Mus musculus: one gene and its partners. The protein of the gene in region 1 binds, or shares a complex with, the protein of each later gene. Links are inferred from orthologs where the notes say so. Each region holds a gene or a part of one and is shown in the gene's direction. Other genes may lie near its edges.

Region 1 (4,260 bases):
TGAGCTATAATGAGGGTGTCAACTTGCTGAAGCAGCGAGTGGCAAGTGACCAAGGGCGGCAGGTGACACAGGACCTGGTGGGCTCCTCCTGGAAATGTCTAGACTTTAGGCTCCGTTGGTATGCGGTTTGGGGAAGAGACTGTAAGGAGGAGGCGGCTGGGGGACAAGGAAGGAAGCCTCTACTGTAGTCTTGAGAGTTCAGTGATGGAGTATTGGGCCTGTTCAGGGCTTAGGAAGATGAGTTTGGGTGCCCCCCCCAAATGATAGGGTGCAGAAGAAAAGCCATCCTGTAAGTCACTCACTGGCCACCACACATTTGGCTTGGCATGTGTGGTACATGCACGTGAACACACTCAATAAATGGTATAAAGATTAAAATAGGAGTTGAAGAGATAGAAGCAATACTACTCTTGTAGAAAACTCAAGTCTGGACCCAGCACCCAGGTGGTGCAGTCCACAAACAGTTTATAACTTCCTTTTAGGGCATCCCATGTCTTCTTCTGACCTCCAGAGGCACCCACACACATGTGCATAACTCACACAAAGAAACACATATATACACATGCAAGAAATTAAATATGAGTCTTTTCTAGCAAATAGTATAAGATTAGTCTTTTGGACAGTAATTAAAATCATTATCTCTCCTACCTTATAGGACTTTTAAGGAGATGTTTTAATCCTCCTCACCCAGTAAAACTTTTGTTTATACAAAGCGCCCCCCCCCCCCCCGCTCCATTCTAGGAAATTGATCGCTTGGAGCAGTGACCCCTTTCCCCTTCAATTTCCTCTGCGCCAATTTTCTCAGACTAGCCAATTGAATAAGACTGCGAGGTCACCTGAGTTAGAATAGAAACCATATGCACTTCCTGTCTTCTCTTTGCTTTTCCGCAGCGCACTGTCTTGATGAAGAGTAAAGTTTGCCTTGTTCGGACATTTCATTTTGAAGGATGGTCTCTTTCTTTGCCACCCCGAAACTTATTCCTAACACACATGAATCAAAATAAAGTCTTTAAAAAAATGAGCTAAAAGTGACAACTGCTGGCATTTATTGTGCACTTGGGATCTATACACTTGCCCTACTCTTCCTCAAGTTTTACAGACATCCTAGTCCTGAGGGGTATTGTGTTCCCCCAAGGCCCAGGACACTGGGATTTGAAGTCAGGCTCTCCCTGTGTTTGCCTCCCGGGAAACGGGAGGGAGGATGCCTCTGTGCAGCTGGGCCGTGTGTGTCGAGGGTGGTGGTGGACGGTGACCATTGCATTCAAAGGGGTTGGAGGCGGGGGACAAGGCCTCTGAGGCTCGCGGTCGCTTAGGCCCGCTCAGAGTCCCCTACGCTACAAGGAGCGCTTGCCGCACCCCACAGCCAACAGGGACCCTATTTCCCCGCTGCAAGCCCCGGGGGCCGCCGGGAGCCCCGCCCCCGCCCCGCCTCCTCCCCAGGCGCGGACCTCGGCGCTCACGTGACCCACCCTGCAGCCGCTGGGGCCGGAGGGCGCAGCTCGGCGGAGGCCTGGCCAGGCCGGGCCGAGCGCAGCAGGCCGGAGCGCGCCGCGCGCCTGGGAGGGTCTGGGCGCCGCGCCTCCCGCCGCACCCGCCCGCGCGCTCGCAAGCCCTTCCTTGGCGCTGGGACCCCTGGCGGGCGGCCGGAGGACATGGCCGGCGACGCCGTACAGGTAGGCGACTTGTCCGCACCCGCGGGGCGGCCAGAAGGCGCGGAGGACCCCAGGCACGGGTAGAGTCCCGGACGAGGTCCCCATCGGGAGCCCGCGCGGGCCCTTGTAGCAGGTGGAGGCGCCGACCGGGTCGGAGGAAGGGGTGCTGTTCGGGATTCTACCCCAGCATCCCCTCCTTTGGCCCTCCCCGAGAGTCAGCGTGTGTAGCGGGGTCCCCACTTCGGTGTCCGAGGCTAGCTGCGGATCCCGGTGCCTGTCGTCCCCACATCCTACTCTGGGTCCTGCAGCGTTCGGTTTCTGTCAGGTGCCGCTTCACCTGGAGCAGGTGCCTGGCACCCTGCCCCGGACCGGAGGAGTGCCCGGCCCGATCCCCTCCCCCGCACAACAAAGCCCGGGCCACCCCCGCCTGCAGACGTCTTTACGATGGTCTTGACGCCACCCAGATGGGCACCTGTTGGAGGAAGTGTCTAAGTCACTTCACTAGGCCTGAGGCCGGGTTCCTCCTTCCGCCTTGTTCCCCATAACCACCCTTCAGGCTGACAGATGGAGCTGTAACCCAGGTGGGGCGTGTCCTGTCACACAGACAGGAAGGATTTTATGTCTGGAAGGTGACAGGGCTGGGTCTCTACTCCCTCGCAACAGACACCTGTGACTGGCATCTGCCAGCCACATGGCCTTCCCTGTGTGACCTGTTGGGCGTTACTGAAGCAGGGTCAGGGTCGGGGTGACTGACTCCCCACTCTAATTCAGTGGCCCAAAATCTGAGATCTTTGTATCTTTGTGGCTCCATTAATTCGTCACCATGCAGTCCATTGTCCTGTGTAACTGGTTCTCATCTCCTTCTACACCTGCCCCCATGTCTCCCCTGTACCCTTCTGTACCCGTCTTCCCCAGTCCTGCTGATGGCCTGCCGGCCTTGCCGAGGAGCTGGGCGTATCTGGTGCTGCCGATCTCACAAGGTCAGACCTCCAGGCTGATGCACCGGTGCCGGCTCCCCTTCAAGCCCACTGAGGGCTGTGCAGGGCTGTCCCAGTACATGCATGTGCTTGGTGTGTCCCGAGTAGGACGCACATGGAGGCTGTGATTCCCAGAATGAGGCTGGACCTACATCTTGGTCCCCGTCCCGTCTTCTCCCTTATGTTCATTCCCGCTTGGACTTGCTGCCTGGTTCCACCGTCTCCGTGCCTGTCTGTTCTGTGTCTGGCAAACGGATGTCCTGTCTAGATTCTGGAAACGCCCCAGGCATTGAAATCTCAGGAAGTGGGGTTTTGGGTTCCTAGCCACTTTGCCAAGAGGGTTTCCCCAAGGTGACAGTTCTTGGTCTGCTGTCTGCAGATCTGTAATGGCAGGTGGAGAAGCTGACCTTCTAATTCCTCAAGACCAGGCCAGGCGTTTGCCCTGCTGCCCTCAAGTGACTCCTTGTCCCTGGGCAGAAGTGAGTCACCGAGGAGGAGGACCCAGGAGGCCCTGCCTCCCTGCCTGCATGCTTTTCACATTCCCAGGCCTTCTCTGCTGGAGGTGGGGCCAAGGACCTTCACCTCTCCTCTTTGCTTGAGCTGGCCCTGCTCCTGGCTGTGTACCTGCTTTGCCTGCTGGGTTGGGGGCGCTGGTGGGCGACAGTGGGTGGGGCCTGGTCATGACAGAGTATTGTTCAGTGAGGCCAGGTTTAAATACCAATGCTGCCTTCCCTAATGAGTTCTTGGGTCAAACACTTTTACCTTACAGAGTCTTGTTTCTGTTTTGGAGGAGGCAATGGGGTTAGGAATGGTATGAGGGTCTGGTGGTGGTAGTGCACACCTTTGATTCCAGGACTTGGGAGGCAGAGGCAGGGGGATCTCTGAGTTTGAGGTCAGACTGGTCTATAGAGTTCTAGGACAGCCAGGGCAACTCAGAAAAACCCTGGGTGGGGGTGGGGAGGTGGGGGGAGTGAGGGTGAGATGATGGCTATGCAGAGAGAGGTGGAGCCTCAGCCAGTTCTGTGCTTCTCTGACACCTTTACTTTGAACATAGAGCTTGACAGTCTAGGCTGGGAACCCACACCCCTTCCCAAGGCCCCAGCAATGGCCTTGTGTGGGGGTCATTGTGTAGTGGGGCTGTCCTGTGTACCTCGGAATGTTGACATGGATAGGTGTCCCCTGTATACTTTGGTTGTAATGACAACAAGAATGACCCCAGACATTGACATGCGTTTCTCAAGGCGATGAGAAGACGACCCTACCTTCACTGAGAGCACAGCTATGGCCTCTTTGAGCATCGGTTTCCCCCTATGGTGACTACTGCTCAGATACACAGTGAGGAGATGACAGGGTCACAGGATCTGTGCTCTTGGCCTGCAGCCTCATCCGAAGGGCTTAAGAGCCTAGGAGAACATTGCTCATTGTGATGGTGATGGCTCACTACTTCTAGGTGTGCTGGACGTGGGATTCTTCCCAGCTAATGTGAATCTTGGCTCTGTCTCTTGCTGCCTGTGGGACCTGGAGCAGGGGGCCTCAGCTAGTTTGTCCATCCGTCTGTCCTTCCTTCCTTCCTCTCTCTCTCTCTCTCTCTCTCTCTCTCTCTCCCTCTCTCCCTCTCTCTCTTTCTCTCT
Region 2 (3,500 bases), on another chromosome or scaffold:
TCAACAGATGTTGGTGCCCCAGAAAAGGCAGGGGAACTGGAACATAGCCTGCTTACCCCAGATGCTACCACCCAGAACAATAAGCCTCAAGTAGGGGAAGGCACAAAGGAAAGACTTGAGAATTCAGACAGTAGCACAACTGAAACAACTGCTGTTCAAGTTTTAAGTGAACCCATGGAGAAAGCCGATATTACAAACCATGTCTTTGCCACCAGTGCCGTAGGTGTTAACACTCCTGCTGAGGCTTCACCTGCATTGAGTTCTGAAGAAATCCCCACTGAAAAACCAGGAATGGAAACTCAAGAGAGAGGCTGTGAGGGGGGAACCACAAGTGACCAGAGCTCCCCGGTGCTTCCTGCTGCTGCTATAGAAAACAAGGTTTTAGGTGGACAAGAACCTGATACTTCCATAGCAGGCTTTTGTAAGACAGCATCACCTTTGGATTTAACCATGCCAGGCCCAAGTTCAGATGGGATGCCAGAACAGAACTCAGAGTCTCATGCACGGCCTGCTCAAAGCCTAAGTGGCCAGGCGCTGCTCTGTTCTACAGCTGAGGCTGGCACGCCTTCTGCTGAGGCTACACATCAGCCGAGCACAGTGACTTCTAGTGGCAGGTTGGAAGAATGTGGCAGTGGTAAAGCTAGCCTGCCTGAAAGCACAATGGTGCAGCCAAGCACGCAAGAACTTTGCACCACCCTCTGCCCAGAAGACCCACAAGCTGACACAGTCACTTCTGACACTGTGAAAAATACCCAGAAATCTGTGGGGGTTTGTCATCTCTGTGTTTCAGATGCAAAGAATCAAGGAAATGGTTTGAAGCAAGATACACCTTTAACGAACGTGCTTGAGGATGTTCCACGTCTGCCTTCAGTTGTCTCCCAGACTGAGAAAGAACTAGCGCCAGACCAGGTATCACCTCCAGCCAGCAGTTTCTCTCTGGCAAGCAGTCCAGAGAGTGAATCAGTAACCAAAGATGACGCACTTTCTCTTGTCCCCTCCCAGAAAGAAAAGGGAACAGCAACTCCTCAGCTCCATAGAACTACAGCTTGTCGAGATGGCCCAGATGGAAGAGATTTGAGTGATACCGATAAGGTAGGAGACGGGGCCACTGACCCACCTCCATCCTCTGCTGTAGAGCTTCGGACCAGCATGGGAAATACCAGCCCTGTAGGCATTGGTGGAGAACAGGAGGGTTCCAGCCCAACAGCAACACTTGAAGTGCTGAGTGACTCTTTACTGCATAACGTGGATAAAGCTGCTTTGGTTTCTGACTTTACTCTGCCTGAAGAAGGTGTCAGTGTAGTGGTTCCAGAAAGTTCCACAGCTCTGGGGCAAGATGGCAAAGATAGAGCAATGAGCTGTTCTTCAGTTAAAGAAGACGTGCATTCTTCAGAAATGTCAAGGGAAGACCAGAGAACACCTCCCTCTGGGCAGGAGATACCAGGACTCTGTGAAAAACCTATGTCAGCCCTCTGTGCCGAGGAGAAAGCACAGCAGCACACACCCTCTGCCTGTCTGAAAACAGAAACTAAAGACATCAAGGAAGTGGCCCCACAGGTCTCCCTGCTGACTGAAGGTGGGGCTGCAAAGAGCCTGGTGCCACCAAGAACGAGTCTGTCTGCCGATTCAAAGCAGAAAGCCTCGAGTACAGAGCAGAGCGGCTCATCTCTGTTGCCAAGTGGGCTGCCAGGTGCGTCTGAGGCACTCCATTGTAATCAGCCTTCTGCTCTCGATGTTGTCGTAGAGAATACTCAGTTCCAAGGGGAAACCAATGCTTGTGAGGTAAGCAGAAGTGCGATGGAGGATGTTACAGTGGCTGATGCTTCACCAGCTACTGCTGAGCCCAGAAAAAAGGATGCATCACACTGTATCAAAGACATCCCAATTTCAGAGTTGTTAAACCAAGAGAAGCAAATGACTCCAAGTTTGCCAGAAGCTTTCCTGGACAAAGGTGTCACTGACTTACAGGAAGTCATAACCCCAGAGATAGAACCACTTGATTGCAAGAGAGAGACGCTGGAGGGAACAGACCTTAACTGTGCCACGAGTAACTCCAAAGAGACCCCAATCGAAAAACCAATGCAGCCTCTTGCCAGGGACCTCCCCACAGAGACAGGGCTCTCAGTGATCAATAACAATGTCCCCCAAGCTGACATGAAGCAAGTGGCACAGGCTTCCATCCCGGCAGAGGAAAGTAATGCCACTACTGTCTCAACCCAAGCTGCAGATGTGCCTACCAGAGCAGACTCCATAGAGGAGACCGCCACTAGGATAGTGGAGGCCGTCATCAGGCAAGTCAGGGCCTCCAACGCACTGATGGCTAAAGTAGAAACCCAGAATCCGTCACTCTCCAGTCCAGAGACTAAGCAGCTAGAGAATGCTTACACAGAGAGTGCATGCGCTTTCCTGCCTGGGGAGACCCCGCAGATAGAGAAGACGCACGAAGACACCACCGGGCAGTGTGGTGCTGAGACAGAAGAACCAGAGAAAATTATTCTACCTGAGTCAGCACCAGGTAAGCAAGGCAGTTTATAAGACTTAACAGCTTAAGAATCATGTCTCTGTTGTGTACTAGAATGTCGATATTGTTGGTTTGTAGTCCTACTTGCTCAGTCATGTAAGTTGCCAAGTTAATAGTCACTGCTGTCAGAAAACACGTGTCATCTTAGGTTGGACAGATTTTACTTCCTGTATTACAGGTGCAAAGCTTTCCTGTTGTTGTTGTTTTTTCAAGCCTACCTTCTCTGTCACACTGGAGCCATTGCAGTTTCTAAATCCGGAAGACAGTACATGGATCTCAGACGGCGTTAGATAATCAAACAGCTTAGTTCTTTTCTTTAGAACCCCAGAATGTAGCGCTGAAATGAATGTGCTTTGTTTACAGATTGGAAACTTTTCCAAGTCATAGCTGTCTGTATTGTAAGAGAATTTAAAGTTGGGCCGGCTTCATGAGCAGCTGTTTTTGAGAAGTACTGAATTAAATGAACATCTAAAACGGTGATATTAGGTCATTGCTTAAGTTGGGGGTGTGTACTCTTCCTCCTTTTCCTGCCTGAGAAACAGACCTCCAGGTTTGCTGCTTTGCTTTTGGGCAGAGTCTGGGAATTCAGGGTCCTGCACAGCACAGGGGATAGGATACAGGATTTCCGCCCAAGCCCAGTCCGCTGCGCTGCTGTCACCAGGCAGACCTGGTGTCTGCTTATCTCGGTGAAGCAGCTGCACTAAGCAGATTGCTCAACACAAGCTGCCTGTTCCATCGATGGGTAACTATGTCCTAAAGAGAGTGTCGAGAAGCCACCATTGCTCAGTGGAATGAACTCACTGGATAGAACTTCTTATGGCCTTTGAGACTGAAGCCGAAACTGTATTCGGAATGGCTGTCACTCTTGTCTTCTGAAGTCCGGAAGGTCAGTTGATGCAGACGTTTATGCCGCCACCACATGCTACCCTGTACTGTGGCTCTGATGCTTTTGTGATAGGTGTTTTGTTTTTTTTTTTTT
Region 3 (3,500 bases), about 5.0 Mb from region 1:
ATTTATATGATTAGTTGCATTGTTTGATTCATGCTATATATATCCATTTCTGTGCTAGTGATGGAACCCAGAGCATTCACATGCTAAACAATCATTCTACCACTGTGTGACATCACTCACTACTTGTATAAACCTTTGAACCTTCAAGTTACCATTCCTTCTCTATTAATTTGTCTCTGATCTCCCATTTTGACACTTTCTTTGGGCATAGGTAAGCCTTGGTTATCTGTCTTATTATTAAAAAGACAGATTTTGAAATATCCTGAGCAACCAGGTGAAACCTGTCTACAGTGACTTTCACCGTAGATGGTTAGACAATAGTAGTGTATATAGTAGTTTATTTCTGTAGAATTTTTCTCATGGGTTTACCAGCTTCTTCAGATAAAAAGCCTCCTGCCTGTGGTAAAGGTATGATTGTAGAGGTCTGGGAACCTGGAGGATGAGTGAGCTGGGTAGTGGAAAGGTAACCTTGGCACATATTTTACACACAGTCATTTAAACTCTGGCTTTGGGGGAATGGCAACCACTTTCTAGTTGTGCCTGGATTCTCCCAGTCCTGGGATCCTTTTTCATCCTTTCAGAATGCAGATCTTTGGGCAGTATGACAGGCAGGGACAGTGAGTGGCTGGGTCATGCTTTGGAGTGGGGAAGACATACTTGATACTGCCATGCCAGAGCTCTTGGCAGACTGTAGGGTACACATGACATGCTTTTCAACAGCAACATTTTGGTCTTAGGACTTAGCCTTAAGAAGTCTTCTACCATCCATCCATGTGTCCATCCATCTGTCTATCCATCTGTTCATCTGTCCATCCACCCACCTACCCACCCACCCACCCACCCATTCATCCATCTACCCATCTATCCCACATCTATCCATCCATCCATCCATCCATCCATCTACCCATCCATTCATCTATCCACCCATCCATTCATCCATCCACCCATCTATCTACCATCCATCCATCCACCCATCAGTCCATCTGTTTGTCCGTCTGTCCACCCACCCACCCATTCATTGACTCATGTATCCAACCATCCACCCACCCACCTGTCCATCCATCCATCCATCCATCTATCCATCTGTCCATTCCATCTATCCATCCATCCATCTATCCATCCATCCACCTACTTACCCACCCAGCCACTCATGTATCCAACCATCCACCTATCTGTCCATCATCCATCCATCTGCCCATCCATCCATCCATCCATCCATCCATCTGTCTATCTGTCTGTTTATCTAGTAGGAGTCCTTTTATACTGCCTCTGTCATTGGGACTAAATCAGTGAATACAACAGAAAACTTTGTTGTGATGTTCATACCTCAGCTGGAGATAGATCATAGCAGAAGCAAGCATTGCAGAGTTTGGAAGGTGCCCTGTGCAATGGAAGATTAATAAAGGAGTGGATCTGTCTGTTGAGAGTCCCCAGGGTATAAAGTAGTGACTTCACCTTCCTGAAAGGTTGTTAGAGTATTCTCAGTGAGAAGATAGGAGCTGGGAAAAGACTAAAGTGGGTGAGAGAATTAGCCAGCCAGCGGTGGGGTTTAGCACTCTAGCCAGAGATGCTGTTAGAGCAAAGTCCTGAAGTAGAAGCACACTGGGCATGCTCATTAAATGAGAGGGAGGCCAATGCTAAGTGGAGCATTCAAGGGGAGGAGGGGGCCAAGGCAGTCAAGCAGTCAAGAAGAGATGCAGTCTGGGTTTACATGGTCACAAACAAGGATGCTTGTCTACTTTGGCTCTGGAGTGTTTACCATTGGACTCAGGCCATGGCTGGGATGTTTATGCTATGCTTGTGTGACTAACCTGTAAAATACTCACCTCTGACTAGGAAGCAGGCACTCTCCTCTGACTGTGGTGTGGGGGATGGAATAGGCTGTAGGCAAGGATTGTGCAGAGACTGGCAGCTGTGCAGTTTCTGGGTAAGCCATGATGTGCCTTGGAGCAAGATGGCAGTAGGCCTCATGTGCATACAGGGCTCCATAGCCATCAGCTAAATGTACCAACTCTAGAAGACATAACAGAAAAGAGATTAAAAAGCAGCACGTTCCACTACTTCTTATGTTGACCGTGTGGTGAAATGGCAGGATTTTGCGTGTTGTGGTAAAGTATGATCTATGACCAAGTACACCCAATACTTGTCACTGAGGCATGTGGCTGTTAGGCTTTGGTGCACATATACCTTGCTTGTGTGCTCTGGACTCTATTTCTGTCAGACAGCTTGATTCTGGTACTTTGAAGGTGGAGACTACAGGATGTGCTGACAATGTGCAGAGAAGGGACTGTAAGGTGACCTCAGATGTTGGGCTGAACAACTAGAAGGATTGAGGAGACCTGAGCAGAGACTAGGAAAGGCGTGTGTGCGTGTGTGACCAGCATGTGTGTGTGTGTGTTTGTGTGTGCATGCACGCGCACATACTTATGACACATTTAAAAGGAAAAAAATGGGCAGTTAGGGGTGTGGGTCCCAGACTCAGAGCATAGTTTAGGCTGGAGAAGAAAGTGGGTTCTGTGGAGAGAGAGAGTTTAAGCATCCAGGCCATGGGACTTGGTACAACACCAGCCTTCCAGGGGTCTATAGCTTCCAAAATCATTGCTTGCTTTTGTCCGTTGGTAGGTTTATGTATTTGTTTGGTCTTTTTTTTTTTTTTTTTTTTTAGCTTTTAATTTTTTAGCTATTCATTCTCTCAGTGGGTTTTGGGAGGAAGCCAGGTTGGCTGTGTGTTTGTTTCACAAACCACGACTACATCATCTTTGTTTGCTAAATGCAGACGGTAGAGCAGTTGTTTTTCTGGGCTCTCATTATGCTAGAAGAGGACTGTGTATTGGTTGTATTGTTGGTAGTTTTTACTTTATCCTGAATGCTTGATGCCAGGAGTGTTTCAGAAAATTTTTTGGGTTTTAGAATATTTACATAAACAATGAATACCTTGGCAACCCGACCCACGTCTAACGACAGAAGTCATTTATATTTCATGCACACATGGCTGGAAGGTAATTCTACACGATGTTTCAATTTTCCTGTTGTGACATTGTGTCAGCACTTAGAATGGTTGGGATTTAAGAGCATTTGGACTTGGGACCTTCAGATTAGGGGTGTCCAACTTTTAATAGAAACCTTCCCACACTGTTCCTCTTCCTTCGGCCTTCTTGAAAATAGCAATGGCCTTTTCTTTGTTGTCTGTAGGCAAGAAGGCTGCTTGATCTCGCTGCGGTGAAGGCCAATGGACTGGCTGCCTTCCTTCTACAGCACGTCAGGGAACTACCAGCTCCACTGCCTCTGCCTTACGAGGGTACGTATTTGTCCTTCTGGTTAACACAGACCCCTGGTTAAAGAGCAAAGCACAAGGCAGTTAGCGTCCATGGATGGATGCCTGACGTCCTCCAGACTCAGTTCCTGCATCTGAAGCCTAGCAGCAACCTGACAGCAGTGAAGATGGAAAAGATGAGGGCATGGCGGCTCTCCCCCTTCCTTGCTCCCCAAACCACATGATA
Region 4 (3,500 bases), on another chromosome or scaffold:
GGCACTAGGATTAGTTAGCTTTGGTGGACCTAGCTAAGTAAACACCGGAGTTTGCCGCTCAAGGCAGGAAACAGTCCTTGCTATCAGTTATTTCTACATTTTTAGCGGCTCTCGGCAGGGAGAAGGAAAGCGTTTATTTTTAGAACTCTTAAGACCACAGAAGCTAGAACTTGAATTTGCCAACAGTGTGATCCTTGGAATGGGTGGTGACTGCGGGTGGGCAGGAGGAGCCTGGGCAGGCCCCAGGTGCTCTGCTCACACCCAGGACCTGCAGGCCTTGGTCTGACAGGTGGAGAGCAGGAAAGACAGGAAGTTGTAGGCAGCTGCTCTCCTGAGAGTCCACCCTGGCCTCTCCTTAACCCAGTCAGCTGGCTCAGCAAACTGTCCCACCCTCTCCTACTCTTTTTGGCTCTTCTGAGACAGAATCTTGTGATATAGAGCAGGCTAACAGGAAGTCATTAGAAAATAATCTAATCCCCTCCGGGATGAAGTGACAGAGTTATGTGACTACAATTTCAGTTTGTGCTATTAGTTTTGATATAAACAAGTTATCTGATGTTTTAAAACCTATGTAGTTAGCATGAAAATGATATTTAACAATGGAGAATTTCTCATTTTAAAAAAACTACAACTTATGTAGTTAAAAGGAAAGAATATACATTAATATCAAAAGAATACCAGCCTAACTTTGGCAATTTGTTTTTACTGGGAAGTGGAGTGAGATTTTGTCTTCTGTAATATTTTTGAAAACTTTAGTTCTGGGCTGGCAAGATGGCTCAGTGGGTAAAGGCACTTGCCACTAAGCCTGACAACTTGAGCTTAATCCCCAAAAACCACATGACAGAAAGAGAGAACCAACTCCCACAAGTTGTTCATGATCTCCATGTGTATACCATGGCCTGTATGCCTCAACACTGTGTACACACACAAAATGAATAAATAAAATGTAATAACAATAAACCCGTATTGTGTGTGTGTCTGTGTGTGTGTGTGTGTGTGTGTGTGTGTGTGTGTGTGGTGTGTTTGTGGGCATACATGTGCTATGATATGCTCTTGGAAGTCAGAGAGCCACACTGTGGGGTTGGTTGTCTCTTCCCACCTTTATATGGGTCTCTGGATCTGTCTCCCGTCACCAGGCTCTCATGACAAGTGCTTCTAAACCCACCGAACCATCTCTCCAGCCCCCATATTAAGTTTTTTATTGTTTTTTTTTTTAATAAGCACTTGCTAATATTATGTCAGGAAAAAGGAACAGGGAGATAATCTAAGACCAACTGAATACAACAGTAGTATTTATTTGCATTTTTGTTTGCCACAAGCATGTAGCTCATTTCTTGCCAGCCCACATTTACTTTGAGACTATTTATATGTATTAGATCACACAGGATATTTTCTCCAGTTACCGAACCCACTAGTAACATCTGCTGTACTGATCATCCACCATGCTCAAGGCACAGAGTGGCTTACTACACAAGTCCCGGACACCCTCCCTAGGCTTCTGTCCTTGGCCTTCCCTCTGACCATCCCACTCCATGTCTCTCTCAGACCACAGCCACCCACATGCACAGCCCGCTCCTTGCCTCTTGTTCTGTGCTGTTATGCAGGCCGTCAGCCCCCTGAAGTCTCCCTCCTGCCCATCTTCCATGTCACATTCTTTGTGGCCTTCCATCCCCCACAAGACCTCTTCTTGGATTGGCTTCTGTCTTCTAGAATGCCTGCACCTTTACCCTGCACCTGAATGTTTCGTGGATGAAACTCCTCGCCCTCCCAGGCTCCCCTCTTCCTGTCATCAAGTCTTAGTATAAGCATCCATCCCCGCCAGAGACCTCATCCAACCTCCCCAGGCTTAGGTGGTCCTCTTGGTTGGTTCTTTATTAACTCTTTCTCTCATCATACAACTTACCCCCACTTCATTGTGGATGTTTAATGGTCTCTCTGATGCACTGAAGACTTCGGGAGAGGAGAGGAGAGGAGAAGAGAGGAGAGGAGAGAAGAGGAGAGGAGAGGCCGCAGTGACCTTTGACCCCAGTGGGTACTCAACACTGTTGTCAAGCACATGGATGCATAAGTGTTGTTTTCACCTTTCAGAAAATGAATCTTCAACTGTGAAGAACACACACACATACACACACACTCATACAGAGACAGACAGACAGACAGACAGACTTAGAGAAAGACACACACACACAGAGACAGAGACAAAGACAGGATTTTATATCATAAAACATAAAATGAAGATATCTAGAGAATTGGTGAGTTCCTTCCTATTAGGCAGATAGCATTTTTTTTAAAAGCTTAACTCCATGAGGTACTGTACCTGTTTTATACAAATGCGCGCATTTGGAACAGGGTCTTCTTATGTATCCCTGGCAGGTTTAGTTCCTGCTGTGCAGCCTAGGCTCACCTCAAACTCGTGGTAGTCCTCCTGCCTCAGCCTGGGATTCTGGGTACACACCACCACGCCCAGCTTATATCGTGAAGTTAGAAATGTAGTGGTTTCAACGTTAGAAACATGACGCCATACTTTTCTTTGGTGCTAAGGTGATTCAAACAGAAATGATTATCATACTTTCTCTCCATTTTCTTCCAGTTGTTATCGCTGCTGACGGAGTGCTGAAGGTAGGACTGTTTCTTATCATTTGAAGAGAGTTGTCCATTTCTGATGATGGCTTTGTGACTAACAGTCTCCCGTCAGCACTGGGTAGAAAGTTGACATTGGTTCCTCTGTCCTCAGATCTGTGACTTCGGTGCCTCGCGGTTCCATAACCACACAACACACATGTCCTTGGTTGGAACTTTCCCATGGATGGCTCCAGAAGTTATCCAGAGTCTCCCTGTGTCTGAAACCTGTGACACGTATTCCTATGGTGTGGTGAGTACGTTTCTCATTTCCTGCTTACCAAAGGACATAGGAAGGGACAACAGCTTAGAGAAGAAAATGGCCACAGTTTAGCTTCCTTGTGCCTGAGACAGTTGGGTCATCCACAGTGGAAGCATTAGGGAGGGGCTTTCCAGCTGTCACAATGTATGCTTTGATCACTTATGACCCCGAGCTAATCTGTCCTACAACAAGAAGAACCATCACTGCTTCCGAGAAACAAATAATGCAGAGCCTGACCAGCGCGAGGCCTGCCGGGCACGCTGTCGAGCTGGGTGGAAGCACCACTGTAGAGCCGCTGTGCAGTTCACTGATATTGCGAAAATCTCTTGGAATATGCTTGCTTATAATAGATGCCCACATGGCGTGTGACAGACAGGAGCTGCCAAGCGAGCTAAACTTGTACATTTCCGAAACTACAAAAGAACATGTTGTTAGACCAGATAGCCTTGCCCAGGTCTGCTGTAAATGCTTCGAAAACAAGTGGTGAAGTTAAGGGGTTAAAGCAGGTGGATGCCAGCAGGCAGAAGCAAGCCTAGAGTCGAGGGAGGAGCCAGCTAAGGATCATTTGGGAGGAAGTAGCCTCTGGTAGGGCATTTCCTGCTGCTGGAAGGAATCCTTT

What was found. Proteins that work in one complex are often made in the same cells at the same time.
Region 2: Pkn1 (region 1) and Akap13 share a complex: the UniProt entries of both Homo sapiens proteins name them as parts of the signaling complex. The link is inferred for Mus musculus from reciprocal best matches to the Homo sapiens genes PKN1 and AKAP13.
Region 3: Pkn1 (region 1) and Nod2 share a complex: the UniProt entries of both Homo sapiens proteins name them as parts of the signaling complex. The link is inferred for Mus musculus from reciprocal best matches to the Homo sapiens genes PKN1 and NOD2.
Region 4: Pkn1 (region 1) and Map3k20 share a complex: the UniProt entries of both Homo sapiens proteins name them as parts of the signaling complex. The link is inferred for Mus musculus from reciprocal best matches to the Homo sapiens genes PKN1 and MAP3K20.

What each region holds. Positions count from the first base shown.
Region 1 is NC_000074.6:83,696,380-83,700,639, reverse strand, and holds the start of Pkn1 (serine/threonine-protein kinase N1), read left to right. Parts: upstream 1-1,460; 5' UTR 1,461-1,652; coding exon 1,653-1,673; intron 1,674-4,260. UniProt on the Homo sapiens protein: PKC-related serine/threonine-protein kinase involved in various processes such as regulation of the intermediate filaments of the actin cytoskeleton, cell migration, tumor cell invasion and transcription regulation.
Region 2 is NC_000073.6:75,609,034-75,612,533, forward strand, and holds part of Akap13 (A-kinase anchor protein 13), read left to right. Parts: coding exon 1-2,527; intron 2,528-2,576; exon of another isoform or gene 2,577-3,407; intron 3,408-3,500. UniProt on the Homo sapiens protein: Scaffold protein that plays an important role in assembling signaling complexes downstream of several types of G protein-coupled receptors.
Region 3 is NC_000074.6:88,657,347-88,660,846, forward strand, and holds part of Nod2 (nucleotide-binding oligomerization domain-containing protein 2), read left to right. Parts: intron 1-3,192; coding exon 3,193-3,298; intron 3,299-3,500. UniProt on the Homo sapiens protein: Pattern recognition receptor (PRR) that detects bacterial peptidoglycan fragments and other danger signals and plays an important role in gastrointestinal immunity.
Region 4 is NC_000068.7:72,369,137-72,372,636, forward strand, and holds part of Map3k20 (mitogen-activated protein kinase kinase kinase 20), read left to right. Parts: intron 1-2,590; coding exon 2,591-2,619; intron 2,620-2,734; coding exon 2,735-2,872; intron 2,873-3,500. UniProt on the Homo sapiens protein: Stress-activated component of a protein kinase signal transduction cascade that promotes programmed cell death in response to various stress, such as ribosomal stress, osmotic shock and ionizing radiation.